Linked DNA regions of Bombyx mori. Each later gene encodes a partner of the first gene's protein in a complex. Links are inferred from orthologs where the notes say so. Each region holds a gene or a part of one and is shown in the gene's direction. Other genes may lie near its edges. The genes, in order: mediator of RNA polymerase II transcription subunit 8, mediator of RNA polymerase II transcription subunit 21, cyclin-C, cdk8, mediator of RNA polymerase II transcription subunit 18, mediator of RNA polymerase II transcription subunit 7 and mediator of RNA polymerase II transcription subunit 31.

The links.
Region 2: mediator of RNA polymerase II transcription subunit 8 (region 1) and mediator of RNA polymerase II transcription subunit 21 share a complex: the UniProt entries of both Caenorhabditis elegans proteins name them as parts of the mediator complex. The link is inferred for Bombyx mori from reciprocal best matches to the Caenorhabditis elegans genes mdt-8 and mdt-21.
Region 3: mediator of RNA polymerase II transcription subunit 8 (region 1) and cyclin-C share a complex: the UniProt entries of both Caenorhabditis elegans proteins name them as parts of the mediator complex. The link is inferred for Bombyx mori from reciprocal best matches to the Caenorhabditis elegans genes mdt-8 and cic-1.
Region 4: mediator of RNA polymerase II transcription subunit 8 (region 1) and cdk8 share a complex: the UniProt entries of both Caenorhabditis elegans proteins name them as parts of the mediator complex. The link is inferred for Bombyx mori from reciprocal best matches to the Caenorhabditis elegans genes mdt-8 and cdk-8.
Region 5: mediator of RNA polymerase II transcription subunit 8 (region 1) and mediator of RNA polymerase II transcription subunit 18 share a complex: the UniProt entries of both Caenorhabditis elegans proteins name them as parts of the mediator complex. The link is inferred for Bombyx mori from reciprocal best matches to the Caenorhabditis elegans genes mdt-8 and mdt-18.
Region 6: mediator of RNA polymerase II transcription subunit 8 (region 1) and mediator of RNA polymerase II transcription subunit 7 share a complex: the UniProt entries of both Caenorhabditis elegans proteins name them as parts of the mediator complex. The link is inferred for Bombyx mori from reciprocal best matches to the Caenorhabditis elegans genes mdt-8 and let-49.
Region 7: mediator of RNA polymerase II transcription subunit 8 (region 1) and mediator of RNA polymerase II transcription subunit 31 share a complex: the UniProt entries of both Caenorhabditis elegans proteins name them as parts of the mediator complex. The link is inferred for Bombyx mori from reciprocal best matches to the Caenorhabditis elegans genes mdt-8 and mdt-31.

What each region holds. Positions count from the first base shown.
Region 1 is NC_085118.1:10,645,894-10,650,567, reverse strand, and holds the start of mediator of RNA polymerase II transcription subunit 8, read left to right. Parts: upstream 1-1,511; 5' UTR 1,512-2,212; coding exon 2,213-2,386; intron 2,387-2,690; coding exon 2,691-2,936; intron 2,937-3,523; coding exon 3,524-3,620; intron 3,621-4,674. Other genes in the region: uncharacterized protein LOC134199859, read right to left, coding at 1-1,199. UniProt on the Caenorhabditis elegans protein: Component of the Mediator complex, a coactivator involved in the regulated transcription of nearly all RNA polymerase II-dependent genes.
Region 2 is NC_085122.1:11,557,550-11,562,151, reverse strand, and holds the start of mediator of RNA polymerase II transcription subunit 21, read left to right. Parts: upstream 1-1,630; 5' UTR 1,631-2,519; coding exon 2,520-2,561; intron 2,562-2,639; coding exon 2,640-2,918; intron 2,919-3,707; coding exon 3,708-3,833; 3' UTR 3,834-4,602. UniProt on the Caenorhabditis elegans protein: Component of the Mediator complex, a coactivator involved in the regulated transcription of nearly all RNA polymerase II-dependent genes.
Region 3 is NC_085121.1:11,204,895-11,209,674, forward strand, and holds the start of cyclin-C, read left to right. Parts: upstream 1-1,819; 5' UTR 1,820-3,107; coding exon 3,108-3,698; intron 3,699-3,779; coding exon 3,780-3,872; intron 3,873-3,978; coding exon 3,979-4,101; 3' UTR 4,102-4,780. UniProt on the Caenorhabditis elegans protein: Component of the Mediator complex, a coactivator involved in regulated gene transcription of nearly all RNA polymerase II-dependent genes.
Region 4 is NC_085129.1:10,516,864-10,520,180, forward strand, and holds the end of cdk8 (cyclin dependent kinase 8), read left to right. Parts: intron 1-349; coding exon 350-563; intron 564-641; coding exon 642-810; intron 811-1,216; coding exon 1,217-1,333; intron 1,334-1,858; coding exon 1,859-1,931; intron 1,932-2,222; coding exon 2,223-2,350; 3' UTR 2,351-2,670; downstream 2,671-3,317. UniProt on the Caenorhabditis elegans protein: Component of the Mediator complex, a coactivator involved in regulated gene transcription of nearly all RNA polymerase II-dependent genes.
Region 5 is NC_085121.1:5,596,255-5,601,126, reverse strand, and holds the start of mediator of RNA polymerase II transcription subunit 18, read left to right. Parts: upstream 1-1,604; 5' UTR 1,605-1,923; coding exon 1,924-2,016; intron 2,017-2,455; coding exon 2,456-2,590; intron 2,591-2,875; coding exon 2,876-3,080; intron 3,081-3,350; coding exon 3,351-3,463; intron 3,464-4,872. Other genes in the region: exosome complex component RRP4, read right to left, coding at 1-116, 198-435, 509-633. UniProt on the Caenorhabditis elegans protein: Component of the Mediator complex, a coactivator involved in the regulated transcription of nearly all RNA polymerase II-dependent genes.
Region 6 is NC_085119.1:10,080,633-10,085,238, forward strand, and holds the start of mediator of RNA polymerase II transcription subunit 7, read left to right. Parts: upstream 1-1,646; 5' UTR 1,647-1,846; coding exon 1,847-2,032; intron 2,033-2,104; coding exon 2,105-2,373; intron 2,374-4,606. UniProt on the Caenorhabditis elegans protein: Component of the Mediator complex, a coactivator involved in the regulated transcription of nearly all RNA polymerase II-dependent genes.
Region 7 is NC_085122.1:5,746,212-5,750,956, reverse strand, and holds the start of mediator of RNA polymerase II transcription subunit 31, read left to right. Parts: upstream 1-1,664; 5' UTR 1,665-1,975; coding exon 1,976-1,991; intron 1,992-2,067; coding exon 2,068-2,157; intron 2,158-2,539; coding exon 2,540-2,709; intron 2,710-3,713; coding exon 3,714-3,860; 3' UTR 3,861-3,885; exon of another isoform or gene 3,886-4,745. UniProt on the Caenorhabditis elegans protein: Component of the Mediator complex, a coactivator involved in the regulated transcription of nearly all RNA polymerase II-dependent genes.

The sequences.
Region 1 (4,674 bases):
GAACTAATTGTGTTAGTATTATTAACATTACACTGAACACTATAAAACGCATTATTGTCATTTTGCACACCCTCGGAAAAGTTAGATTGACTTTGCTCACCTCGGTTGTTTAACTTACGGCACTGTTCCCGTGCATGTCCAAACCGTTTGCAGTAGGAGCACACTGGACGCTGTTTCTTCGTGGTCACGAATTGCTCTGCAGAACCTGGCACAGCAGCGGCAGGCGTGGCAACGGTAGGCTGGGCGACAGCGACAGGCACAGCGGTGGCGGGCACGACGGCCGCGGCGGAGTTTGGAAAGCGCGCGCGCGGCGCCGGGGCACTCGCACGAGCGGCGCACGGTTCAGGCCGACTCGCAGCCTGGGCCGGCTGGGCACGGATCGAACGCACACCACTAGTGGACGACACTGGTCTCGATTGAGTCTCCTCTATCGAATCTTCTATATTCCGAGCATGGTTTAATAATGAATTGAAAGATGTGATTTCTTCACGGCGCAATCTTGTGCGTATTCTATTATGAAGCAACCCGTATATCATATCAAGTTGTACTTTTTCAGCAATATCATCCCGCGGTAGCTTTGCCATAAGCGCACGAATACGAGCAACAAACTTGTCTGTGTTTTCTTTATCCTGCGGGGAAACAAATATTTCCAAATATATTCTATGTGGTGGAAGGCGGGTGCCATATGCATATATTAAATTTTCTTTGGCTTCGTTCCAAGTGGAGATGTGATGCTTTAATCCTAGCCACCACGTAGCTGCGTCAGCAGACAAAAGCATGGCTAGGCCTCGTATGATGTTAGCGTCAGATACTTGAACGCATTCTGTATAACTTTCAATTGCATCTATAAAGGCCTCAACAGATTCACCAGGTGCACCGCTGAAAGAAGCTCTGCAACGCGCCAAGGTACCATCTACGTTCACTGGGGGCATCGGCGGAGGTGCCGGAGTCGACGATCTTTGTTCCATCACGTACGACATAATGTTCTTAAATGTTTCGGCCTGCGAACGTTGCAGCGAGGCCATCAACGCTGAAACATCATCCAAGTTGAACGTAGAATTGTTGCTACGTGATTCGGCGTGGGGGCGATCATGGGGGCTATCATGCTCCTCGTGATTTTCGTTGGCATTTGCATCTGCAGCAGGAATAACGTCGTCTTCGCGACGTTGCTGGCGATCTTGACTTCTAGTTAAAGGCATTCTTTACAATTAAGCACCAACAGCATACAATAGTTAGCAAATTTTTCACAAAAGCGTGCGCGCCATTTTGTTAGTCCAAGCAAGAAAAAAATTAGGAAACGTTGGGCAGCCAGATATAGTGAGGGGTAGATCTCAGGGGTATTTAAAACTATGGGTTAGTCACCAATATCGAATTTCGAATTTTAATCTTCCTTTATAACAAACAATTTTCAATTTTTAAACAATAATTACATTTAGACGCGGGCGCACGCTATTCACACTCAAAACGGAAGCGCCCGGAACATAGATTATACACTGTTACAAGATTGACATAGATACTAACTATGTATAGCGAGCGGGCATACGGCCGCGAGAGTGACGTACCGGTCGGTTTGCTACATATTTAATATTTGTTCAGAGTGGGGGTATTCATCTGATTAATCCATGGAATAACCGACACACCTAATCTCTTAATCCAGATAGAAATATCAGCACTGTCGATTGCACCTATAATTGAGGTGATGTCTGCCATGTACTTTTGTCAGTTTTTCAATTTTTTTTATTGATGATCACTTTGTTGGTGCAACTAAATAAATAAATAAATTAAAACTATATATAAAAATAAAAGTAGTGCCAACCCTAGCAAATTTCTCGTTTCGTCCCAATTAACCGCAATTTTCGGGTAAATAGGGATTACACCTATTTTTGCATTTTTTGCTTAAACTGGAATGCTAGTTGCATAATTTTAAATTAGACAACAAAGATGCCCCCAAGACTCAATCATTTTGATCCTGATTTAGCATTATATACATCAACAACTACCTTAAAATTGCTCATAAAGTTGGAATTTGTCCCTAATCGCCCCATTTTACGGTACGGTAGGTACCGTATGGTACCATTTTGAGATATATTACTTATGTACCCTTAGTCCCTTACGGTTATTTAATAGCTAGGTAAGGTACGGTACCTAAACCTTATTAAAATCTAACAAAGAGAATTAAAAAGTTACAATTGTGTACCTACCATTTACAACAATGAATATGCAGCAGCGAGAAGAAAAGCAACTAGAAGCTACAATAGTTGCGATTTTAAATAGAGTAAATGATTTAAAAACTGCAATACAAGCATTGATAAATAAACTAGAAACGGAATACGAGACAATAAATTGGCCAACTTTTCTAGATAATTACGCGATTTTATCTGGTCACGTAAGTCCAATTGTATATTGAAATTCATAGCATAAATAGTGTGTGTAATAGTCAACAAGTCTACAGAGATGGATTTCAACTTGAAGTAGGAAAGATAATTAATTTATTATTGAAAAAACAGTGAAACAAAAACTGACGAGTTCAAAACTCACTTGATGTAACCTGGTTAGCGTGGTCACTGATATTTATTAGGTATTATCCCATTTTGAGACTTGTTTTCAGATTTAAGTGCATTTGTACATAAGCTTTTCACTTTAAAGATCATGTGTTATTTAGTTAAATTTTATTAACTCTTTATTTTCAGCTGACTGGCCTCAGTAAAATTCTCCAAGCCGAACAAGCAGCTTCATTGCGGTCTAGAATTGTTTTACCACTTCAATTAAGTTGCGAACGTGATGAAACACTGGCTCATTTGACAGAAGGCAGAGTTCCAGCTTGCACTCATGATTTAGTTCCAGATTTACTTCGTACCAAACCTGAACCCCAGGCTGAACAGCGTCTCCAGCAATTTAATCATAAAGCTAGTACTTTAAGCTATGATACAGCACAGGTATAGACAATAATTAACATTTAATTTTAAATATCAGAAACATTTAAAGAAGCATAAGGTTTAATGTACCACAAGGAAAAATATCCATTATAACTATTTGGGCTAATTTTTTATGACATTCTTTGTAGACTTCGCAATCTAAATTAGTTTTCATTGTAAACGGTAAAAAAATAGATATATTTGGGGTTAAAACATGTAATGCACTGTTGAGTGAATAAACCCACAGCTCACTTGAGATATAGTGGCTGGGACCCATAGATATCACAGAGTTAAATCAACCTCTTGCTTTGAGATATTTGGTTGAAGTATGTATCAATTCTTTCTTTTTTTTGTTGTATCACTTGTCAGGGTGGTCATGGTCATCATTCAGTATCATTGCAATCATATCATCATTGAATTCTATTAAACTATGTATAATAAGTTCTTTTATATAATCAAGATTTGTCTGCAAAATTAGCATGATAATCAAGTTGAGTACTTAAGACATGCAATTATAACAAGCTCACTTTCTCATGTAATGTTGTGTAGTTGTTACCTACAATTATATAGATGGATGATGTATGGATTATAATAGTTTTATATTCCAGAAACACATTGCTCAATTCACTAAAGTTGTCAGTCACGTTTGGGAAATTATATCCAAAGGCCGCGAAGACTGGGAAGGAGAGTCAATGAGATCTACAGGTTAGTAAAAGTTACAATAGAAAATTATCATAATTACCTAAACAGTTGACAGATTTTAATAAACATTTCATTCATATTATGTAGTCCATTTTTAACTTCTAGAGGTTGAAAAAAGATGCGGGTCACTGTAGTGAAAAACAATTTGTCTTCAATAAAATTTAGACACACATGCTTATCTTATTTCACCTGACCCAAAACACATGCCCGAAGTCTCAGTTGTATGGCAGGCAGGCATCTTATAATTCAAACTGGCATGCCTGTTTTCTTCATAACAAAAATACTTATACACGTCAGTGACTCAGGATACACTCAGCTACTCACAGTTCTAGACCCCAGTCATTGGTGAATATCTACAGAAAAGACAGGTGGGATTATTCTGACCATTGTACACATATCCTAAGTTATTAGTTCATATAAGGTAGGTATGACTTTACTTTGACAAAGATGAAAGATGCCCACCAGAGATGCCCAAGATTTTGCCCACCACTTAAACAAGTATGATGATAATGCAATTTCACAATACAAGCAGTGCGATTATGGAATTCTCTCCCTCAACCTATTTGTGCTAGTTCCTCTCTAGAAGTTTCTAAGAGTCAAATGAAGAAACATTTCCTGTCACTTTAAAAAAGTGTATTTAAGTTATTGTTTTATGTATGTTTATATGTATTTTTCATTTCATATTAGTTTTTTTTTAAAGCTTAGTTTAAAAATCATGCTTTAATAGATTTTGTATTGTACACTATTCCCCTCTTTATACATTGTATTTCTCTCTGCTAATGGTTTGCTGGAAGAAAACTCATGAATGAGTTAAGCTCGCCTTTGTGCATAGTATTTAGACATTCTTTAAATCTGTTTTTATTGTATTTTCTTTTTGTGTACAATAAGTATAAATAAATAAAATAAATAAATAAGTATGATGATAAGTTTTTTCATTGAAAAATGTGTACTGACTTAGGAGAACTGAATCACACCATAGTAGAACAGCTAGAGACAGTTAACTGGATGTTTATGTTTTAATATATATATTTTATGTTTTATTTTTCAGTTTAAGGAA
Region 2 (4,602 bases), on another chromosome or scaffold:
ATAAAAGTATAGATTAATTCCTTTAACGGACGGTAGTAGGGGCACTGTTTAAATCCTATCTATTTTTTCTCGATAGAGATACGAATACTTTTTCGATAGTCATTCGTGCTTGCCCTTCAGAGTGTAAAGCTTTAATGAGGATTGAAAATTTTATTAATTATAGCTAAATCCAATACTTAGCATGATTGTTTGCACTTGATTCTAAATGAAAAGTTAAGCTTTGTGATGCTCTCTAACAAAACTAATTGTGAATTGTTAAAACTATTTCATTGTGTGATTTTTTAAAAGTTTTAGTAAATAGTCATTACTTGTTGCTATGTTTATAACTATATTTATGCATAAAATTTGATAATAAATTGAGAATAGATCTATAATTTTAAGGTATTTGATAATAATTTTGGTACTATAGTGTGAAGCTTTGAAGTTTTCAAACAATTTATCTAAATTGTTTTAAAACATTTTTAATAACAATCACGAGGTTTTGTGTGTGTGTGTTTTTTTTTCTGTGCACAATTTAAAACCTCTGTCTTTGTAAATGTGGCCGCAAACGGGGGTTGCTAGCTGATAAAGATGGAAACCTAGATCCAAAGTAGAGTGAGAGAGTTAATGCGTAACATCGTTTGTCAGACAAGGATGGCGGTAGACAAACTTACCCTATTTAAAAATTAAAAACTAATGCGCATGCGTCGAGTGCTAGTTTATTCAACCAACTGCGCTCACTTTCTTACTTTACAAACGATAATTTAGTTAGGTACTCAAAAAAAAGTGGGAATTTTTATTTGCTATATTATTATGCTAATGAATTATATTCATATTGCTGTTATTAGTAAAGTTTTGTACTTAATTTATAAAAAAATTAGATGCTATGTTGGGTATGTACATACAGTACTCAAAAATCTAATTTAGCAATTTTCATTGTTGACTTCTAAGCAATTTAAATTCGATAACGGCGGATTTCTATCATAAAAATGTGATACCGCAAATGCTTAGTTATTTTTAAAGAGTGCAGGTTAGGCTGAAAGCTATCTAGTCTTTTATTGTTAATTCGTACGAGAATAGCGCGAAAGCGGTGATGGAAGTTTTTTTTCCTACCTATTCGGTAGCCTACACACACTGCGACGCAACTTCTTGATGAATTTTAGTTGTTACAAAAATGACGCGAGGATTTGATATTTACTTATTGCGCGACAGGAGGTGTTTGTTGATTGTAAAAAAAATGGCTTACACGAAACGAAAAGAAAAACGGAAAACTTTTACAAATTAGTAAAGTTCTGCCAATTTTACTATAGCACAGCTGCCTTAGATTGAATTAGACTAATAGTTGTAGTAGTCATTAAACAATAACATGTTTGAACACACAACCTCGTTATATCCGTAATGTGAATCCAGCTTATTGTTAATGTTGTTTCATTGAATAACTAAAATTTAAAAATAATCGTTTAAGGTCTGAAATGAAAGAGGTTCATTAATGGTTTTTTATTATACTTAAATACTCAATAATTGTGATGTTTTTCTAGTCGGTAATATTATGGTTACCTATTGTGTACACTGCTTACATTAAATAAAGGAAATTTTGAAATTCATTTCATTGCCTATAATTAAAGTTTTTTAATTTTTTTTATATGTAGATGGGTGGAAGAGCTCATAGTCCACCTGGTGTTAAGTGATACCGGAGCCCATAGATATCTATAACGTAAATACCGTCACCCACCTTGAGATATGAGTTCTAAGGTATACTTACAACGGCTGCCCCACCCTTCAAACCGAAACGTCAAGTGGTCCTGTTATTAGCAACATTACTATTTAGCTTATAATGTATATAACGGAGAAATGGTTTTCTAAATTTTAATACTGATGAGAATGATTGCAGTTCTAAATGTATTTTTTTATTGCCCTTGTAGGCAGACGAGCATACGGCCCACCTGATGGTAAGTGGTTACCATCGCCCATGGACTTCAGCAATGCCAGGGACAGCCAAGTCGCTGCCTACCGTTAAGTACTTTCCGCAAGCCTCGTTTGAAGAAGAATACGTCATAGCGCTCGGAAAACACCGTGGAGCGGAGCTCATTCCAAAGCCGTATGGTACGTGGCAAAAAAGATCTCTGGCTTAAAATGGCGTTACTATTCCAAATTAGGTACTGTTTTGCTGCACGCCAAAGTTAAACGATCGTAATATAATTGTTTCCTTACAGAACTTCAAGTTATTTGGATTTTAGATTAATGTCTCAAATGAATCAACTTTATTTCATTTCGCTCCATATGATCATTTTTCATGAAAGAGAATAGAATGTACATACAAAAGACTAGGATGTATGGTGTGTGATATCTTCGCCTTTCCACCTGGAAATATTGGAAATATTACTTAAAAACGTCATAACGTTCAACTTCAAATAACTTCATTCAAAAGGTAGTTTTACAAATTGATACTGTAGGTAGCTTAAAACCACCTTCCATAGAAAATATCCATATAAGGATTAAATTTTAACAGTGGTTAGTAGGATAAATATCTGAATTGAATAATGGCTGATCGCTTAACTCAGCTTCAAGATACCATAAACCAAGTACGTATGACAAAAATGAACATTTCGTTTTAATTGACATTAATACATTTCACATACGTTGTATTTATTTATTTGTAGCAAGCTGAGAATTTTTGTAACAGCATCGGAATTCTACAGCAGTTCTCGTTGCCTAGCAAGTTCCCAGGCTTCGAACGCGGTGGTTCTCAGACTCCTCAACAACCGCAGAGTCAAGAGGATTATGCGGTTTTATTCGCGGCTCTAATTTCTCGTTGTGCTAAGGACATTGACACGCTCATCGAGTCTTTGCCCAGTGAAGAGAGTTCAACTGAGCTGCAAGTGCAAAGCCTTCGGCGACTTGAGGCCGAGAACAAGGAGGCTGCTGAGCAACTTGAAGAGGTAAGGGCTGTCAACTCTCCGTGCCCAATACACGTGCAATTTATCTCAAAGGACACTAGCTTTCTTTTTTATCATAAATTGGGAATTATCATGTAACTAAACCATTAAAATAATGATTTTAAAGAAGTAATTATGCCATGCAGTTTGCTTTTGTATTGCCATTTGAATGTAAAATCAAATATTCCAAGAAAGTATTTGTATTACAGACATTGTATTTTGTCTATAGTCAACTTTTGTAATGTAAACAAGCACCAATATTTAAACATAAATTAGTACCTACTTAAGATAAAATTGACAGTAATAGCGATTTGGTTAAAGTTGTTTCCTTAACTTCATTTTGAGATGGCACACTGGAATTGTATCAGCGAATATTACTTTATTCAATTTTCAAAACCCATAGGGTGTTTACAGATTAATCTCATGTTTTAGATTGCCATGACTACAAAAACTTATAGTATTTGAAATATTGGAAGTAATCATATCGACGCTTGAAAGGCAAACGTGACTAAGCGACAATGCGTGAACTTCACAGTAGACTAATTTCAAGATGAAATACCTGAAAAAATTCTATTTTAACGAAACTAGCTGTAGGATTGAAATGATTTTAATAGACCTAGAAATATATTTTTTTTGGCATTGAATATGGTTATTGCCTATCATGTATAAAGCAGTTATTGTCGCTTAGTCACGTTTGCCTTTCAAGCGTCGATATGAAAATAATTACACATGACTTACTCTCTTTTCATTAGCGTTAATAATAATGTCAGACAATATTTAATAATTCTACAGGTAGTCCGTCAAGGAGAGATTCTTCTAGAGAAGATTCAGGGTGCTCTGAGTGATATTGCTCAGTGCCAGTTGGACATGCAGAATCCGGCTCTGATCCTCAACAAGGATGTGAAACCACAGTTATAGGGATGGGGTCTGGGGTTCTACCAACGGTAGTTTCCTCTACAAAAGGATACGTTAAAACAAGAATACACGGAAGTATTTTAGTATTATATGAATTTTAAAATTTTGTGTTTGAAATCTTAATGCTTAATGACGAAGATTTTTTTTTGTTGTTTGCAAATTTGTTACAGGGCTTTCATGCCGGTGAAAACTAAATTGTCTGAATGTCATATTTTTGAAACTATAATAAGAAAAACATTGGTATGACATATATCATTTTAAGTAATCATTTGTTATAATTGAATAGTTAAGTATACATGACTTGTTTATTCATTATTTTCTATTATTACGTAAGGCATACTTTAAGTCTGAAAGGGTAGGTACCGCCACTCTGCCTATACATACTGTAAAGCCGTTGTTTTCCAGTTTTGAAGCACAGGTTAGTTGTTGATGATGATTTTGAGATGAGTGGCGGCAATGACTGGGATCTCTGGGCTATGTTAATCTCTTAATATTAGATGAACTCGTTCATCTATATACATAAAATAAAATGAACACAAGGAAAAAGTAAAGGTGATTGTATTCAATGATGAACATGAGTTTTAATTAAATTAAAAAATATTTATGTTTTATGTTTAATTAATTTAATTAAGTTATTATGTTTAATTAAAGGTTTAATTTTTCTTTTTGTTGTACGCCCTGTATATGCTGGAATGGACTCGAATCTAAATATTAATATACTTTAGAGATTGGAAATAGAAAACTATAATCTTGAAATGAAAAAAAATCTATA
Region 3 (4,780 bases), on another chromosome or scaffold:
TCTGACGTTTCTGATGCTTTAGCTTTGGTAATACTAGATGAAACAAACAGCAGATTGAAAGAAAATCATCTTAAAGTTAATTACATTCATTACAAACCATTAGTTTGCATTTTGTTACAAAAGAAACTGATGTTCGTTACATGCAAATGAATTATAAACATACACATGCAAACATAAAATGTAAATTTATCTTTTAATCCAAATTAAATGTACATTAATATTACATCTAAATAATAGAAAGGGTCTCGAAAATTTTTATTGCACTCAACAGCAGACGAGCACACAACCCGGCTCATGATAAGTGGTCACCAGTGCTTATAAACTTCAGCAGTGCCATAGGGGTTGCTGTCTATCACTTAAGTTTTAATAAATTATTAATATACTCAGTCACAAGCATATTGATTTCACATAATGAAAATGTAAGAAACATAATCATGTTTGGGCATTTTCATTTATATCTGCTCATACAGAAAACACAACTTAGCAAATATATTCCACAGTTAATCTAAATAATTGCAAATAATGCTTTTGAAGATCGTTGACTTTTGATCATTAATTAAAATCATCTTCTCGTAGAATTTACAAAAGCTCATTTACAAAAATTTATATCAGTATTTTCATATATTACTAACTTACTAATTACAACTATTCAAAACGTAATAGTATAACTATAAGAACTAAACAACCTATTTTAAAACAAAATTGGCATCAATTTAGTTCTTATGAACTATTTCAATTATTAATTTATAAATTATAAACATATTTAAAAAAAATTAAGATCCCTTGTGAGTTCACATTCCTTGCTGAATCAGTTTCTCTTCTGAAACGGAGAAACAAAGTATCTTAAGTATGTAACAAATATTGAAAAAATACGACCATGAAAAATTTAGTGTTAATGTAATCATACTTACAAATTAATATATTACATAACACGTTCTGGTTCAAATATAGTGCATCAATCTTTTCATGTTTCAGACATTTTAGTGCTCCTTATAATTTTTCCATAAAATTTTGTCATTATCAAACCTTTGTCTACAAAAATAAAAACATTATTTTATATTGGGTAGAAGGATGAACGTGGTCACAGGCCACTTGGTGTAACTTGGTTATCAAACACCAGGAAACAAAATGTGAATGCCATCATTTAACTTTGGATGTGAGATCAATTGTGCTGTATTTTATTTAAACAGGAAAGCATGACTATCAATCAGTCATGCTTTCCTGTTTATTCCATTCCAAAAAACTAGTTCGGGCCCACTTGACAATAAGCATATAATACGCTGAGTTGCAAAACATAAATACTTCCACCCACTCGAGACAATTTTATTATCTGAGGTGTGTGTGTGATAGTACGAGACTTAACACCGACTGTTTTGATCAAACTTAACATATATGATAGCTAGGCAGCAGAAATAGGAAGGACCATTAGTTGGTGCTAATTCATTTAATTATATTATGAATAATAATTCTGTTAGCAAATAATATACCGGGAAAATAGTGTAAACTCACCGTTATCAAGGCATCCGAAATAGCATTTCATTTTCGATCTTCGAGGCATGCTGATTTTTAATAATAAACTTTCTGTAAGAAACGAAAATAGTTACACAGGCTTACGAAACGCTAACGAAGAAAAAAGTATTGGAACCAAGTTATGTCTAAAGAGAATTCAAAACAGAGTTTCTCAATGTCTAATCGTCTAATATTCTCATAAAGCTAAAAGATGCTCTAAATTAATACTACAACGTAAAATAACTCACACCAAGACAAAAAAAAAACGATTTAAAAAATTAAATCGTTACGACATTTTGAAAACGTTTTTTTTTTTTTTTGAGATTGTTTTACGGCCCTGGAATTTTGAAAACTTCAAAGCAGTGTTTCCACTTACGTTTTTTTAAACACATTTTACCCTAGTTTCTTTTGAATTTATCCCTAAAATTTCCTAGACAACTTTCATAAATCCTTTATATAGAAAGTATAAATAAAATACAGAAAATAAACCACAGCATATTATTTAATGTAGGTATATATAATATAAACGCCCCCAGAAGATCATAGATATATAGGATTAGAATTTTCAAGGAAGTCGACGCATTGCTTTTATATTCTTTTGCTGCACGCAACCTAACACTGTTCGGTTCTAAAATTGAGCAATTGTTTGCTGGCAAAGTTGGGAACTTTCTATGAAGCAAGCCGTTCAGGGTTTCATTAGAAAGCCTGTTTCTTTTGTCAGTTTTTACATTTGAGAACACTGAATTATCTTTCCACCTCAGTCTTTGAAGAAGGAACTGCTAGCAAAAGTGAAATGACAATTACAAGGTTTTCGTAAATGAAATTACCATGATAATCTTTCATGGTACATGAAGTACCTGTATATTACAATACAAGTAAGTTCTGGTGACATCAACGAAAATAGGTAAATAAAAGTTTGGCGGATTATACTTATTGGGATTCTGGGGAATCCCTAAGAAAAAAGCAGTGGCTTAATCTATAATTTACTTTACTAGAGGGTTACTGTTGAATCAAACCTTCTTTATAGTTTTTATACACAACTCTGTTTTATTCTTTTACTTGTCAACTCGACTTAATGTCATTCTCTCTCCATAAAATAAAATGTTCATTGTTTTACTTTAATTATCGTTTATTTTAAAATTCACAACAGTTACTAGTATAGGCTTTGCTTTTTACCCCGAACTATCCTAAATCCTGGTATTTTTTAAATTGTCTTTATCATCCAAAATATCAGCTATTTTTCCCTAAAAAAGGGAGAATTCCCTAAAAGTGGAAGCACTGCTTCAAAGTACGCTAACCTTTTTTATTGAGTCAGAACTCGTACCTGCCATCTAGTGAGTTTATTAGATCATTAAGGCCAAAACGTTTCAAAAATGACCTCGCCGGTTCCTAAAGATGACGCTAGTTGAATGTTCTTTTCCTTTGTATGGGAGTTGCACCCCCCTGGTTATGCATACATATTACTAAAATACACAGTTTCAAAAGTTTCATAGAATAGGAATGGATGGAAAAATGTTAAATTTGTAAAAAAAGTATGTTTTTTTGATAAATCAAAATTTACCAAATTTTAATAATTATTGTGTTTTGCCTTTGAAGAAATGGCTGGAAATTTTTGGCAAAGCTCACATCATCAACAATGGATACTCGATAAGCAAGAGCTAAGGCGCGATCGCCAGTTTGATTTGAATATTTTATCAGAAGAAGAATACCAAAAAGTATTTAATTTTTTTGCTAGTATAATTCAAGTTTTAGGCGAACAACTTAAACTTCGTCAGCAAGTAATCGCAACTGCAACAGTTTACTTTAAAAGATTTTATGCAAGGAACTCTTTGAAGTGTATTGATCCACTTCTTTTGGCACCAACATGCGTATTTCTTGCATCTAAAGTTGAAGAATTTGGTGTTATATCCAATTCCAGATTAATAACAACCTGCCAGACAGTTATAAAAAATAAGTTTAGTTATGCTTATGGACAACAAGAGTTCCCGTACAGGACAAATCACATTCTGGAGTGTGAATTTTATTTACTAGAAAATTTAGATTGTTGTTTAATTGTATACCAACCATATAGACCATTACTACTTTTTGTCCAAGACATAGGACAAGATGATCAACTTCTGACATACGCTTGGAGAATAGTAAACGATTCCTTGAGAACAGATGTTAGTTTGTTGTACCCACCCTATCAGGTATGATTTATGTAATGCAAATAGTCACATTTCATTTTTTATTCATAAAACTTTTCATTGCCATTATATTTTGAATTACAGATTGCAATTGGTGCCTTACAAATAGCATGTGTGATGCTTGGTAAAGACAATCTCAAACCTTGGTTTGCTGAGCTAAATGTTGACATGGATAAAGTGAGAAATATACTTGAATATATATTAAAATTAAAAAAAATATGGTTATTGTGTGGTTGTATTACAAAACTTCTGAAACTACTCATTTAAAAATTCAAATTTACAGATCCAAGAAATTGTGAGAGCTATCATTAACCTTTATGAGATGTGGAAAAGTTATGATGAAAAAAAAGAAATACAAGGGCTATTGTCCAAGATGCCCAAACCAAAGCCAGCTCCCCAGAGATAGCAAGACATATTTTGTAGTATGGATTTGTATAATGGATATATAATTTTTAATTGTAGACATGAAAAATTTGTTTTTAATTCCCTAGGAAAAGAAATTACTATTTTTGATGAGGTCACTTATATTTCAAGTGATTTTTATGAATTTTTTCAACCATAAACAAATACAGTGTAGAGCACACTTTAGAGCATAAATTAAAAGAACAAGAACTAAGTTATTTAATTTTCCATCACAAGCCAAAGATACTCTCTTTATTGGTTGTTATGTGATTTAAGACTATTGTATCCTATTGTAGCCTTTAGACACAAAAGTAAATTATTCCTTTATTTCAAGTTTAATGTTTAAATAATGTCATTGTATTGCTATGCTGCCCAATAACATTGTTCATATAAGTAAACTGACAAAGATAAGTAAGATGACAAAAGCTAAAGAAAAAAGGCAATTCTAATGAATTTAGTCTTATCTGTCTGCATGTTTTTGAGCATTGATACTTCATTCATTAACTGTGTTGCATTTGTTCACATTTTACAACATTTGTCAACATTAACAATTTTGAACATTGAAAATGAGGTGGATCCTTTAAATAGATATATATGTATAAATTACTATTGGTTACACATTTCAGGTTAAAACTTATTAGCAATTCAGGGAATAATTATGTCATGTATAGTCAAAGTATGAT
Region 4 (3,317 bases), on another chromosome or scaffold:
GTAAACATAAAATATAATGTAATCGAAGAAGAATATAGAAAGATTCCCACCCCATGACACTTGTTCAAAAATATCAGGATATGGGACTGCAGTAGGCCAAGGCGGCACTCAATTATTTTGAGCTCATGAAGTATAGACTCATTGGTGCAAAATATTATATGTGTATTGTAATGTTAAAATGTTGTTCTTTCACGTCAATACAAACCAATGGATTGACATGATTTTTTTTAAAGTGAAAGTATTCATACTGATACTTTTCCTGGACGAAATGTGTAGAGCCACGGTTTAAAACCAAGTCAAAAGAGATGTAAAAAAAAAAGTAATTTAAGAAAATCTCATTTATTTGCAGATATTTGGGCCATAGGATGTATATTCGCAGAACTATTAACATCTGAACCTATTTTCCATTGTCGCCAAGAAGACATTAAAACAAGCAATCCATATCATCATGATCAACTAGATAGAATATTTAATGTTATGGGATTTCCACTTGAAAAAGATTGGGAAGATATAAGGAAAATGCCAGAACATGCAACACTAGTTAAGGATTTCAAGAGATCAAAGTAAATTGAAAAACAAATATTTTGAGGATGCATTGGTCTAAAATGAAATTAAATTTAATATGTTCATATTCATTACAGCTACCAGAACTGCTCACTCAGCAAATATATGGACAGGCATAAGATTAAGCCAGATAGTAAAGCTTTTAGTTTATTACAAAGACTTTTACTGATGGATCCTAACAAAAGAATCACTTCAGAACAGGCTATGCAGGATCCATACTTTGCTGAAGACCCACTGCCTACTCAAGTATGATATTATAATGTTTTTGAATTCTTAATGATCTGAATGGATAGATGAGCAACCTGAAGTCAGGAATATTAGACCCTATAAATGCACAATTTTAATCCCACCCACCTTGTAACAAGTTAAATTTCCAACTGTACTATAAATGCTATCCCATCTTGATTATAGTAGGTATCTACTGGTAAGGGCTCACAAAATTGCCCTCTATGGTAAAAACCAACCATTAAATATTTTGATTTCATTATGTAATGATGACATTCATTTATTTGGTAAATATTTGTGAACCTGTGCAAGAAACGAAATATGTATTAATAATATTGTACAGGAACTAGTGGTAATAATATATTGTACTAGGTCACCATAATATATTTATTTAACAGTGAATGATTTAATTTCTTTCGGTTAATAGGATGTGTTCGCCGGATGTACAATTCCATATCCGAAAAGAGAATTTTTGACTGATGACGATCAGGAAGACAAGAGTGATTCAAAAGCCAGACAAAATCAACAGCAACAACAACCAAATGTAACGATTTTGACATATGTTATATCCATGTATTCTAACTAGTTTGTTAGCGAATTATACATAATTTATTGGCTTAATCCTTATGCTGTGTTCATGCTAATATCTGTGGTCATTTGAGGGATTTGCACGGGAATGCATTTTTACTTAACTGTAGAAATAAGCAGGGCATTGGTGATACCTGTGATGCGATCTGACAAGAAGGGTATCAATCAGTAATATATAAATAATATTTTTGGGCGTTTGATTTTACGCAATATAGTCGCCGTTGAAGTCATTCAATTCATGAGCATGTGTTAATATGTATTCCAAGCCCGTAGAAAAAATGTTACTTGCTTCCAGGATTTAAGCAACATAGTCATATCACTTCATACATGTACACGGAACGTCTTAAACTTTATTTCTCAACAAGCCATGCTTCAAACTTTACACATTCATTGTACAATTGTGTAAATTGTAAACGTGATGAATAATGAGGTATATTGATACCATTTACTAAATTTTATTGTTATTTTTAATTTATTTCAGACCCAACAGAATCAAGTTCAACAGAACAGCCACGATCATGGTGCCAATAATGCCAAAAGGATGAGAATGACGGGTAAAATAACACAAGTTTTAATACAAATTTATAAGTATAAATTTATTTTTTGCTGCATTTTCATGTAGTGCCAACTGATTCTGAACAATAAAATTCCTAGCCCTTTAGAAAGTTACTTTAAAAACTATTTATGTGCCTAGTAAATGACATATAACCAGACAGGGAGTTAGCTTGTCTACACAATAGAGTGTTAACCACGAGCAATTAACAACAGTAGGATTTAGTAATCACGGGCAATAAATAAAATAGAGCAAGGTGTTATCAGACACTTAGTTATATATTTTTTTTCAGGTCCGAACCAAGGCAACAACACTGGTGGTGGCCAGCAGGAATTCCATCAACAGCAACAAATGATGTTCGGTAGTCAGCAGCAGGGAGGAAGCTCCCAACAACAAGGGAACTACCAACAAAGATTCTAATACAATATACCTGAGTCTACGTACTCGGGTGGACTGAATTTAGAACCATATGAATAAAAACGTGCTAATTATAAATTGGTTGATGAGATATTGACTCAAAATCTCTCAGACAGTGCGAATGTGATGTGTCGCCGTACGGTTTCTTTTTTTAAAACTATAGAATTAATGATCCGTCAAACAAAACTAGTGGTATTTCGTGAAATGCGTTTCAGTTAATGTACTCTGTATTTTTGGTGGACCTGTTCCAAATAAACGAAGGAAAAATCTCATGTTGATAGTCATTGTGACAAACACGTGAGAGACATTGGGTGCTATGTTGTAAAAAACTGTTGTAAATCCTATAATACAAAAAGATACTTATTGAAATTGAATATTACTATCAGCAATGTGTTTGAAGTGGCTAATAGATTTGATTACTATCACAAAGCAGTTCACCATTCCGGCTTGAAAAGTAGAAAAGATCTTATAGCACAATAGAATGATATGGTACTGTGACATCTAATGATCTTTGCCTCAAGGCTCATTGTGATGCCCATTGTTTCCAGTAGTTATTTGGTGACAGTTGGGCTATGAGCAAATACGTGCTCATAAGTTATAACAAGACTTTTTGGCGGGAACGCGAGGAGTGAAGTTGTGTGATTTGTTTTCTTTTGTTTATTTAGTGTTTCTTCAGTTTTTAATGTGTAATAACGGTGGTTTGTTAACTGTTTAGTATCTGTGAAAGTGCACAAATGTGGGAAAATGAGACAAAGCCGCCGAAAGTAACTTCTCGGGATCCTCCAAAAAGTCCACTGAAAAAGTCAGTAAATGACCATCTATTTTCATCCCATATCATCTCATCTCATTTCATTTAATTTCATGTCAGTTGATTAATTTGGGTTTCCTTCGTTTTTTATTATTCATAAACTGTAAATAAATTATTAAAACGGCGAATTATAAAAATCTTATTACTTGACGCTGGCTAATG
Region 5 (4,872 bases), on another chromosome or scaffold:
CTTGTATGCAATGAGAGCGAACCATCAGAAAATACATTCTGTACTTCAGCGCTTATCAAATCACCTTCCTGTAAATGTTTTCTCATCATCTGCTCATCCTCTTCTGAACGCCTTCTCTGGATTTAAAAAAATATATAAATAGTTATCATTAGATACAAGAAGATTGCTTTATATTATGGAAGTGTGCGTTAATTTACCAATTCTCCGCCAGGTAGATTTACTGAAGAAAGTTGAAGTATTGAATCAAGTCGTGAATTGGTATCAACTTTCCATCTTTTCTGTTGAACTTCCAATACTCTTCCGACTACCACATCGCCTATTTCTCCAACGTAACGACTCTTCAATGGGCGAATGCATATAAGTTTATTTACTTTTTGCATAACCCCAGCAACAGATGCTTTTAGGCAATCATCTTCTGCGTAAGTTCCGTGGCCTCTTAAAGTGCAAAATTATTAAATTTATAGTAATAATAATTCTTAACAATATTGTTTTCGCAAAAAATACCGACCTCATAAAATCTTGTATCCCAGTTATGACTTCGCCAGGAGTGTAAAAACGCGGCGGGTCATTATTTGAGGCAACCGAATGATTTACTCTTTCAGATGCGAGTTTTATAGATACATGACTGACCATTTCTAATGTTTTTTTAAGCTCCCTCTTTGCTAATTGTGAATTGTGTACAACGAACTCATAGACCTATAGTCGGATTTTTTATTAGACGAAGTCAACTGACGTTTACTGTGTTGTCAGGTTTTGATGAAATAAAAATAGTGTTGTGACAAAGTGAACGATTGAAAAAACTCCTGAATTAATGAAATTGCCTCGATTGTCTAGTGAATAGTTAGTGTGCCGAATTGCCGATATCGGGTACGGGGTTCGAATTTTAGGCGTGCTTTGTACAACCAATGAGTTTTCGACGAAATATTATGTTCCTATAGTATCTACCTGCACTGAATACCGAGTGTTTTAAACATTAAGAAAAACATTGCGAGGAAGCTTGTAAGACTGTCCTATTTCCAATACATCATATAGTTGAAATTATAGATGTATAAAATATAACAATTATAGGTATGTAATGAAAATAAAAAAAAGTAATTGTAGTTACATACTACTAGTAACATATATTGGAGCACTTTAATACAATTTTATTGTAAAATATAAATAATATTCTTTTATAGTTTGAAATTAATGATTAACTCTTCACACTCATTGTTCATTCATGTGATTGAACGAGAACTGAACAGATGATAAGGGATGAAATACAATCTCACTAAAATGACGGTTATTTACTGAGATTTTGGCCTTTTTGGACGATCCCGAGAAGTTACGTCCAGCGGCTTGGTTTCATTTTCCCACATTGGTGCACTTTCATAGATATTGAACAGTTAATAAACAACCGTTATTACAGGTTTAAACCTGAAGACACACTAAATAGACAAAATAAAACAAATCACACAATTTCACTCCTCGCATGTAGAATCATTGGTGACAAAAAATGTTTAAAAACAAATACGGCCGTACCAATATGATAATATGATGCGATACCATTGCCTCTCTCTCCTGTATTTGAAAAAGGAAATTACAAAATGTCACCTAAATGAGGCTAAATGTCAACATTGTTAGTAACTGTCAAGCTAACAGCGATTGCAAACATATCTCTACCTTGTTAAATTCCAATATGAGTATTTAGATTATGTTAATTAGAAATTAGAATTTATTTTCTCCTTTAAAATTGCCTAGTTTTTTATTTTACGCAATATTTATAGTTTCGGTTATATGGACTATTTAGACTGAATGCACCTCTATGAGACAGAAAAGTCGTTTATAAGTGTAATGATTTCTTGGCTCACACATAGTTCTTCAAAACTTAAATCTTTAAATAGCTGCTATTGAAGTAGGTTTTCAGATTTTCAGCTCCATAAAATGTCGGCAAACGCTGCACCTATAACAGCTACAGATAGCTTATCGCAAGCTTTAAAAGCGAACATTATACCAAATCAGGAATACTTACTTCAGGTACTACAGGATGTTGAAGTGGCTCAGCTATTTTAAATTTCAGAATAATTACAATATAGTCTACATTCTTCTACAGTTTCCATAAATTGCATACTTAACAGAACTAATTACCATAGTTGCAGCTATTGTATCCAATTCTTTTGACCCATTTGATCTGTTTACATACTACATTCAAAATATTATCAGAACCCATACATACATAGCTTACATATAATAGCAGCCCAAAAAAACATGAGATAAGGTCTTAGTTACAATGCCTACAATGCTGTTCTTAATAAATAAAAATAATTCATTTAATGATTTTCAATTTTACAGTATTTCATAGCTGGAAATTATGATAATTAGGCAACAGGCAGCAACTTTTCTCAAGATTCAGTCAAGTTTGTTAATTGTTGAATATTATACATTTAATTTTTGATTCCACTAAAATTTGATTAAGGGCTCAGTGTTGGACTCGGCAGTAGAAGTTTTACTTCACCGATTACGTGGTCTTTGTGACAATGTTGATGCTGGGCCAGAAACATTTGATGACCAGGAAGTGTGTTTCAGTCTACGGGATCCTAATCATCATCAGGTAATAATAATACTTAGAACTTTTTAAAATATTTCTGTTAATGTTATTATTATTTTAGGACACTAGAATATAAAATGGTTATAAAATTATAATACAATAAAACTTGTATTAAATTATAAATTGATTAAATTTTGCCTGGGCTGTCACCTGTTTGGTCAAGAAAAGTGCTAATGATTTGGTAATCACTATTAATACTGTACAATTCGTGAGCATAAAGACATGCCTGAATCTATATATTTTTCTTTCATGTTCTAATAGTTCATCTTTAATAAATTTAAATTTCAGGCTCCCCCTCTCATGTTGCGTGTTCGTAAAGCATTAGATGCTCGAGACATGCCATTTCAGTTACGATACATTGGGCAGCCTGATTTGGGGGACAAAAATAGGCCAACAGTTGTCCGTTCCAGTCTTGATATAGCCTGCAGTGGAATGCTCATTGAATTTTTAAATGAGCTAGGATGCCGAATTGAATTTGAATACAGTGTAAAAGGTAATAATATTTATTATAATGACAATTATGAGTAATATGATTGTACATGTATTTGATAGTATATTCTAAATCATCACTATTACTATACCACTATTGTTAATAATGACGAATCAAAGAAGACCAATAGTCAAAAATACTAATTCAATTTAAAGTATTACCTAGATTTGGGATTTAATTAAATTGCATATAATTTTCAGTGGTTCATTTAAAATCAATCAATTACGGTAATTTTATAAAAAACATTAAGCTTTTTCTAATTCTAAATTTCAGGTTACATGTTTAGAAAAGGTCGTATGAAAATTACTGTAGCAAAAGTGTTTAAGATTTCTCAAAATTCAATGCCACCTGAACCTATCTCACAGAGCTATCTTGTGGAGCTTTCTGTAAGTTTTTGACACCCAATTAAATAATTTGTCAAATTTCCCAAACAATACCGCTTTCTGGTTTTGCTTGAGTATGATGATTATATATGATCTTTAAGTACCGTAGATTGGGGAAAATGGGGACCCTTTCCAATTCCAAAACAAATTTTCAATGCTTTTATTCTTAGGGTAATACCAATAAAATTGAGATTAAAATGGCTCCGAAGGTTTAAATTTTTAAATACGATTCATTATTTTATATAGTTCATATAGTCACAAAATATACACAAAACCTTAAAAAACTTGCTTGACCCGATTCTCTTTGAATGAGGCTATTTCTCTCATTGACTTGTCCTTCTTCAAACGAGGCTTGTGGAGAGTATACAACGGTAGGCAGCGGCTTGGCTCTGCCCCTGGCATTGCTGAAGTCCATGGGCGACGATAACCACTCAGCATCAGGTGGGCCGTATGCTCGTCTGCCTACAAGGGCAATAAAAAAAATACGCTATGTATGGGGACAACAGAGTTTTTCGATAAGGCTGGCACTATTTAGTTCTTAGGTAGGTACCTAACTTTAGGTAATTAATTTTTTATATCTTTAATGAGATACAAAGTTTTGATATCTGAATTAAACTATATAATATTCTTAAACACTAAATAATAGTCATCTTCAGTGCAACAAAGTTATATCTAACAACCCAACAAGAGTATTGTGACATCCCAGATTTGTCCCTATTCTAACTCTAGTCTCTATTCTCCCCAATCTACTGTAAATAAACTAAAAATAAGGAAGAGATTTTTAATTTGCTGGCTTGGTTTTGATGTAAACAGCTTGGTTTTTTCAAGCTATAAAAACATAAGTAACCTAACCTACAGGTTTCCATGAATAAGTAAGGCTCAATAATAAGCTTCAATTGTTTTTTTTTCTTCTTATTTGTACGTATTAAGTAGATTTTATATAATTAATGTATGTAGTTGATGTTTGTAGAGCAATGTGGATTTATTTTATTTCATGTATGTTATGTGATGTGTAGTGTATTTCAGTTGTTGAAGACTTTTACCCTTCTTTAATATCTTTGGTTCCCTTAGGTTTGTTAGAACAAAAGACTAATTAATACATTAAACTCACCATTGGACATTCTTTTACAAGTCTTATTTTAGTATCATTTTCTGTGTACCTATAATATATAAGAATAAGATGATAGACTAACTTTTATTTGCTGATAGTGAGTCCTGAGTCCTATAAGGATTGTGCGCCCAAAATGTTATATAAACTCTGCTACTTAAACAATTTTGGGGATGCTTAAACGACAAAGGGAAGATCTTCCACCGAGCGGATGATATTGCTCGGTAGACCGACGGTCCGAATGTTGTTATTCGGAACTTGTACATATGCGCTTTATCTTGAAAATGTCGTAAGCGAGATTCAG
Region 6 (4,606 bases), on another chromosome or scaffold:
CCTTTAATATAATATATTTCCGGTAGTTGTTCGTCATGATAACTTCGTCCATAATTGCAAAGATAAAACCTTCAGTTTCCCCAAAGAGGTTACTGAATCGTAACCAGGCCACGGAAGCTAATTGGTCTACATCAGGCCCTGTGAGAGCCCGGTAGAACCTACCGTGTAACTCCTTGCTCCTCCATACGGTTATGCGATCTAAAATACTCTTATTATTATTATTATTATTTGGTATCTAAACATACCTATCTCACACCATGTTTATTTAATGAAAAATTAAATGGAACTAATTATGAAAAGAAATTTAACTTGGATTAAAACTGAAGAATTTTTTTATAAATTATATAAAATATACAGATCAAATAAAATAATTCATAAAACTTACATCCCGAATTCCTGCCAAAGGTCTGCTAAATTAGATATTTTATTTCATTTTTCATTTTTTATTTGGGTTATACAATTACGTATGAAATGTAAATAAAACTACTTTTATTGTCTTTAGCGAATAATTGAATTTTTTCAAGTCTTAATAGTTGGCGCTACTGCAAAACATGCTGTCTGTGGCGGGTAGCCATCATACAACGCAAGATGATTGACGGATGCCTGAATCTCGCTTACGACATTTTCAAGATAAGGCAGAGCTCGAAACTTAGGCATCCGCCACAGAAAGCATGCTTTGCAGTAGGGCCAACTATTACTGTAGATATACGATAAAGGGAAGATCTTCCACCGAGCGGGTGATAATTGCTCTGTAGACCGACGGTCCGAATGTTGTTGTTCGGAACTTGTATATAAGCAAGCTGATCTTGAAAATGTCGTAAGCGAGATTCAGGCATCCGTCAATCATCTTGCGTTGTATGATGGCTACCCGCCACACTGTCAAACTGCAGTTTCGTGTATCCACTTAATCGCAATCGCGATGTGCCTTTTAATTTTTTTTATTTTTTATTGCTGAGATGTGTGGACGAGCTCACAGCCCACCTGGTGTTAAGTGGTTACTGGAGCCCATAGACATCTATAACGTAAATGCGCCACACACCTAAAATATTGTCCTCTGTATGAGAGCCTACTGCTATAATCCAATTGATCCAGCTCAATCCAGACACCAGAATCTTGCAAAGTTATAATACACTTAACAGATCTTAGTTACTCATTGATTTTCTTGTGTGATACATTTTATGAAACCATTTTAAATGATTTTATAGACACACCCCACCCCTAAGTTTGTTGCCAATCTTTCCTGTAACATCCTTAATAGTTAATTGTCTCCACGACTTGCGAAAGCTAAAGGAACAAAGCCCATAAAACATCTTTTTTATTTTATTTATAAAAGCCAAATTGTTTACATGAAATTTCTTTTTGGTTATAAAACATCAAAAATCTTTCGACAAAAATCAGTTCGGGATTTTTTTTTTCTAAAGGTTCATTGAACACTCAGTACATTCTCAGAATTTTAGCGAAAAATTACTTCACTTCATTTTGTCCACACTTACGGTGTTGTCATAAACTCACCTCTAAATTGAAGTTCATTTAACTTTCACAACACCTTCGACCTTGGTGGCAAAAATTGGAATATATGAGCTATGTTCCCTTTGCTTATCCATAAGGCCAATCAAACAAAAAAAGCATACTAAAGCATAGATTAAACACTTATTTTTTAGAAAGCATAGACAAAGCTCATAATAATTCATACATTTCATACTGTAGTGTGTAAAGTTGTTTTAAAATAAATTTCTTCAATTTAACACAATATTTAAGAGTATGTAAATCTTTTTTTGTAAATATAGGCATATTCCGTTTTTATTAAGTGTTTGCTAGAATCGTACGTACGGATTCCCGGTTCACAATGTCAGAGACAGCTCAAGTTAGCTCTTTACCTCTGCCTCCAATGCAATATATAAATTTTTACACGGATGAAAATGTTAGAAGAAATAGAGCTCCTCTACCACCTCGACCTATTCATGATTCTTATTCAATGTTTGGTAATTCTTTTAACGCTGATGATGCTATTATACGTTCGTTAGAAAGCCAGGTAAGTCCTAAAACAACTAGTTTACAAACACAAATGTTTATGTAAATAATTCGTTGTAAAAAATTCCTTCAGGGATTTCGAAGATTGTATCCTATGCATTTTGAACGAAGAAGAGAATTGAAGAAACTTAACCATTCACTGCTGGCAAATTTTCTGGATTTGTTGGATTTGCTTGTTCATTGTCCAGATTCTCCAAAGAGAGCAGAAAAAGTAGAAGACCTAAGTTTGTTATTTATTCATATACATCATCTTCTAAATGAATTTAGGCCACACCAAGCAAGAGAAACATTGAGAGTAATGATGGAATTGCAGAAAAGACAGAGGGTTGAAACTGCAGCAAGGTACTATTAATAGCGTTAATTTGTCATATGTTGGTGTTTCTACTATATCTATACTGGACACCAAGGAACCATTCTAGAAAATAAAGATAGATCTCAGATCACAAATGACAAAATAAAAAAGATGCCAACATAAATATTTAAGTTATGTTTTTGCCACACACATGATATAACCATTAAGTGTGTGACTTATCCTTTATTATTTTAGGCTTTAACATTATAATATGATCTTTAATTGGGTGGTAATGTGAAAGTCTGATTTAAATTTCACTGGTTGGATTTTCACTGGTTGGAAACATTAGGTGCCACTAGTGATTAGACATTTTTATCTGTTACCACAGTACCTTCATGATTGAGATTCCCAGACATTTTGCCCATCAATGTTATGTTAATTTATTTATAATTAGTAGAACCTGAATAAATTTATTGTGTTTAATCTTACCATAGGCTGTTAAACACAAAGTCATATTAAGTTCTCCCAATGTTTGATATTGAAGCAGAATAATGAAAATCAGATTTGTAATGAGTTTAATTTTTTTTTATTTTTATTGCTTAGGTGGGTGGATGAGCTCACAGCCCACCTGGTGTTAAGTGGTTACTGGAGCCCATAGACATCTACAAAGCAAATGCGCCACACACCCTGAGTTATAGTTCTAAGGTGTCTCAGTATAGTCACAACGGCTTCCCCACCCTTCAGACCGAAACGCATTACTGCTTCACGGCAGAAATAGGCGGGGTGGTGGTACCCACCCGTGCGGACTCACAAGAGGTCCTACCACCACCAGTAAAAAACCTTAAACTTGTCTCAATAAAAAAATTTTAGTATTCATAATGTCATATCATCTTTTTCAAACCAAAATCTGCCCTCTGCACTTTTTAGAGATTTCCAAATTTGAACTGTTTTGAGTAATATACAAAAATATTTTAATATAAAAAAAAAGAAATTAGCAGATATTGTTTACTGATACTACGAGGGCGGCACTGAAAATTTCGGGAATTAACGAAGTGACGAAGTTACTATTTAAAAATGTATTTATTGCTTATCGAAGTATTCTCCGCGAAATTTGACACATTTTTCCATACGATGGAACCAATCATTGAAGCAACCATTCCATTCGGAAGTTGGGGTCTCCAAAATGGCCGTTTTGTAGGCGTCTACAGCTTCTTCAGGTGATGAAAATCTCTGTCCACGCAATTTATTCTTTATTTTAGGGAAAGTATAGAAATCATTAGGGCTTAGGTCGGGGCTGTACGGCGGATGGTCTAATAATTCTATGTTTTCTTGCTCTAAAAACTCTTTTGTTCTGTGCGCGGTGTGAGAACTCGCATTGTCGTGATGGAGGATGATGCGGCGGTTGCAGTTCTCTTTACGGAGTTCAGAAACGACCTGTGGCAAACAAATGCTAGCATACCATTCTGCATTAACCGTTCTTTGTCCCTCAAGAGGAATAGTCGTAACATGGCCGGTTTTGGAGACAAACGTGGCCACCATTTTTTTTGCAACACTCCGTGAACGAACAATTTTTGTTGGCTTTAACTCATTTTCGAACACCCAAACTCGTGACTGGTTTTTTGTTTCGGGTTCGTACGCGTATATCCAGGATTCGTCACCTGATACAATGTTGTATACAGCATTTGAGGATCCTGCGTGGAATCTTTCGAGAGTTCTGACGCACCAAGTAACGCGAGCCGCTTTTTGCTCTTCACAGAGCGAATGCGGTATCCATCGGGAAAACAACTTTTTTACACCTAATTGTTCATGCAAGATTATTTGTATTTGACTCATGCCAATGTCTAAAGTTGCCTGAATTTCGCGGTATGTCACATGTCGATCTTCCTCAATCAGCTTACGCACAGCATCAACGTTTTCTTGGGTGACTGCAGTTTTTGGACGACCTTGAAGGGAATCATCACTGAGCTTGACACGTCCACGTTGAAACTCAGCAAACCAGCGATAAATTGTGGTTTTGGATGGGGCTTCATCACCAAATACAGAAATCATCCGGTCAACACACTGTTTTTGTGTTAAACCACTTCGAAAGTCATAATAAATCATCGCTCTTGAATTTTCTCGAGTCAATTCCATTTTCTCAACGACTAAACAAGTTTGACAAAACCTCGTGACAAGACCGAGAATCTTTTTTAAAATAAATAAATGGTATTCGATTTTTAAAACCAAGGAGTTTTCAATTAAAAAGATTTTAATATGACAGGAACAGTAGAAATATTCCATTCC
Region 7 (4,745 bases), on another chromosome or scaffold:
CTTCCAGTTCATTTGCACAAACTTGGTATCGTAACTAGTACCGCCTGTGAGTGTGGCGAGAGTTATTGTGACCTGAATCATATTTTCTTTTCTTGTTCTTTATATGATCATTCTTCCTTATATACTTCTTTAGTATCTCTCTCTGTTCCCCTTCCTACTAATATTTCTTTACTTCTTCGAGATTTTAATCCCCTTGTATATAGTATTTTAAGTAGGTTTATATTAAATAATAACATTAAACTATAATTTTGATTTATTTTCCCTGTTATATAATTATTCTGATTTTTTTTGTAAATTCAATTCGTTCTAAATCATTTATGTTTTGTTGCGATAAGTTTCCTTCGTTTTTTATTATTTATAAACTGTAAATAAATAAAACGGCGAATTATAAAAACGTTATTACTTGACGCTGGCTAATGCACAAAACGTGCCAGAGCCAAAAATAAAGAAGAAGAAGAAGAACTGCGTTTATACCATAGAGTTACTACTTATTAACTCCATGGTTTATACATATATTAAGTGTATAATCTATGGTTTATACTGTCTAATTATTTCATAAGTGGATCAAAAAAATATTGAAAACTTCAACAATAATTCAACAAAAAAATGTCGGTGAAGAGTGAAGACGGTCAATTAGTCGTTAAAGTACAATTAGCGTGGTTTTCAGTTCAGTTATTTTTAATGATACTATTCATTACCATGCAATAGGAGATAGTTAAGATACTTGTATTTTATAATAAAATTAATAATTCCTAAATTCATACTTAGTTCAAAAAATGTAAATATAATGCACACAAAATCTGTTTTTGTTGAAATGATAATTATTTATAAGTTCAAGAAATATATTGCAGGGACATTTAGTAGAAATTCATTTAATATAGAAGAATAAACTTAGTATATATACTTATACTCTATAAACAGGATTTTTTAAGAATAATTATATCTATTTGATATATATAATAATATTATAATAATGATATTAAGTATAAATGAAGCTGATTAATACGAAACATGGCATGAAATGAAATGAGATGAGATGATATGGAATGAAATATAATTTCAGTAAAATGGTGGTTATTTATTGAGACTTTTTCTGTGGACTTGTTGGAGGATCCCGAGAAGTTATGTTCAGCGGCTATATTTTATTTTCCCACATTTGTGCACTTTTACAGATATTAAACAGTTAATAAACCAGCTCTATTAAACATTTAAACCAGATTTTTTTTAAGGGATGTTATGACCTGTTAACTAAGACCTTTAAGTTATATTTTATTTTAATTTATATTCTTATTTTTATGAAAAATTATAATATGGAGTGAAATGAAATGAAGATGATTAATTTGAGAAATTAATCAACTGGGATGAAATTAAATGGAATGAGATAATATGGGATGAAATATAATCTCAGTAAAATGGTGATCATTTACTGTGGTTTGTTCAGTGGACTTTTTGGAGGAACCCATTTAAACTTGAAGAAACATTAAATAGACAAAATAAAACAAATCACACAACTTCACTCATCGCGTTCCCGCCAAAAAGTTTAGGTATAGTACCTTTAGGCCAAATATTAAGCCTAAGTAGGATGATGATCATAGTCATAGACTAACTTAATGTGTAGTGTAGTATTGCTCGTATATATTAAGTGTATAATCTATGTATATTAAGTGTATAATCTATGTAGTATTGTGTAGTTGTGTTACGTTGTGTAGGACTCGGAAAAAAATATATACACAAATTTATTTATGTGATTTAATTAATTTAAAAATTTTAAGAGCTTACTAAGTACTGTGTAACATTTTAGTAATGATAAAATCTTAAATATCACATATTTATATAAGGATAAAATGAACTGTCTTGTGTAACCTGAAAATATGTTATTATTTTGGTCATAGATTTGTTGAGACGTACACCACTGACCAACTTGTTTAATTTTGAATAATTTAAATACTCCAGCTGCATATATTTCGGGTTCAAAATGATGGCTGGAAAAGGTAAGAAAGAATGAAATAATTTTATTTAACAGTTTGTTATTTCATGATAAATTAATAATCTTTAATTTAATTGCAGTAATGCCAGAAACTGAAGAGCAGAATCGAATAAGATTTCAAGTGGAACTTGAATTTGTGCAGTGCTTAGCAAATCCAAATTACATTCACTGTAAGTTGCCTTTTTGGTTTTTGTTGTTAGACTTCACACTCACCTGGTATACAATGATTACTAGAGTACATAGACATCATAATGTAAATGTTGCCACTTGAACTTATGCAGGCTAATGCTGCTCACTGCATACATACACTTATGGAAACTTATAATGATAACTTAATGTGATGACTGATCTGAAGCTATCAAGTTGGTCATCAAATCATCACAAGAGGGAAATAAGTAATAAATTGTTAGGTATTTTTCATACCGGTTTAATGATTTTGTTATTGTGACTTAGTTTCTAATCGTCTATTTTGTGATTAAATGTTTTTCTGCCCAGTGTTTTTAAATGTTATGTGTAATGGATGTCAATTATGTCAACTCTGTCTATTTACAGTTTTGGCACAGCGAGGTTATCTTAAAGAACAAACTTTTGTAAACTATCTTAAATATTTGCAATATTGGAGAGAGCCAGAATATGCTAGATATTTGAAGTATCCCATGTGTTTGCATTTTTTGGAGTTATTACAACATGAAGCATTTAGAAGAGAATGTGTATCGGCACAAGTGAGTACAAATTGCACCTACTAAATTATTTTCCATATAATCTTTGCTTGAGCGGTAGATAATGCCATAGGTTTTAAGTCCGCTGATAAACATTCTTCTTCTTCTTCTCTGTCGTTTCCTCATTGCTGAGGGTCGTGACCACCTTGGTCCAGTTTTTGAAGTAGTGTTTATATGAAGGTTTGTTGTGGCCTGAAGGCTTATCGCTCAGGCTGACCTGACGCATTCATATCAAGCGATACAAAGGTGTTCAGATCCTGCAGGCAGGTTCCAATTATTATAATGAGATACATACTAAACAAATGTTCACTATTGACTTCCACAGTTAAGGAATAACACCATCTAGTAAAAGAATCAAACTTGCGAAATTATAATTTGTGTAGTTACTGGTTGTAGGATGTCTTGTGAGTCCGCAGGGGTAGGTACCTCTACCCTGCCTATTTCTACAGTGAAGTAGTAATGTGTTTCGGTTTGATGGGTGGGGCAGCCATTGTATTTTTTTTTGTTTAGGCATTTACTTTGTACATGTCTATGGGCTCAGGTAACAACTTAACACTACTTGGCCTTTTTTTTTTCTGATATAGTTTTATGATTTATAGGTTTCACAGTATGATGTTTATGGGCTTAAAACCAAAACAGAGCTTGACTTACAAATCAACAGTAAAAAAAATATGCAAATGAAATTGAGCTAGTTTGAATGTAAGAATATAAATTTGGTAATTGTTAATGACCACGTACAAGTTACTGCAAAAGTCATATTATTATAATTTATTGGCTTTTATTTACCACCTCATTAGTAGCTGTGCTTTATTCTTGTACTCTACCAAATATAAAATTTATGACTGTGCCAAACTGGCCCTTGACCAAATACCGCTTTTAATTTTATCCGATAGCAGTATAATTTGTATGTATTACAATTTTTAAATAAAGCCTGTGTTTAGATCACTCTGATGGATAGGTACTGTTCAAAATATCTTCATTAATGAATGATTAATATTTTCCTTAAGGTTTGCAAATTCATGGACGATCAAGCAATATTGCTATGGCAACATTATACTCGTCGGCGTACACGCACGTTACAACCGCCGGACGCACCGGCGCTTCCTGCGCCGCCCGCACCGCCACAACAAGGTCCACCAAGACAACAAACTTAGGATGTTCATGATTGTTGTTTTAGAAGTGAGTGGAAAATAAAATAAACTTTTTATAAATCTATACTTAATAAATAAATCTACAGTGGTTTTTATGGATGTTCCGTTATAACTACTGAACCATGCATCCGATTGACTTGAACTTGTTATCCATGTAGAAAATACATGTACATAATGGATAGGCTAATTATATGAGTGTTGGACTCCCTACACCAGTTGCGGGGGCGTTAATGATGTGAATCTTTGTGGGGGTGAGAAATAATAATGTTAATTTTAAATGCCCAGTGAAGCGGACGGGTACAGATAGTAGTGTATAATAATGTTAAAAAAATATTGGGCATGTCCTCTAGTAGGATGTCCCACCGGGGGACAAAGATCTCCCTCTAAATTATCTAAATGGGTGTTAATGAAACCTCTTTGTTATGTTATAAAAATAATTTGGCTGATATTAAAATATTTGTTCTGTGTAGTAGTAAAATATACGTAGTCTTACTCATAAAAAATATATTTAATTACTTGAAATGGGCACTGAACGTTTTTCAAAACGAATTTTATTTGATTGAACATAAACAAATCCTTTGTATAATAACCGGCAAACTTCTTGAGCATTTGTTGACGTAGTGGGGGTAAGTTTGCGCATGGTACACTCACGTGCAAAAACATTACTTACTCTGCGTCATAATGCTATTAAATTATTAAAATGAACATATGTATTTATTTATATATTTATTAGAACATTAACAAAACATATAGGTTAATAATTGTAATAATTTAATCTTGGGGTAAAATAGATATTCCTTCTATTAAGTCAAAACTAGAGCTGTTGCCAGGTCTTGGTTCAGTTGAAGCGAAGCTGGTATTTGTAATTTTTTTTCCGTTATCATAATC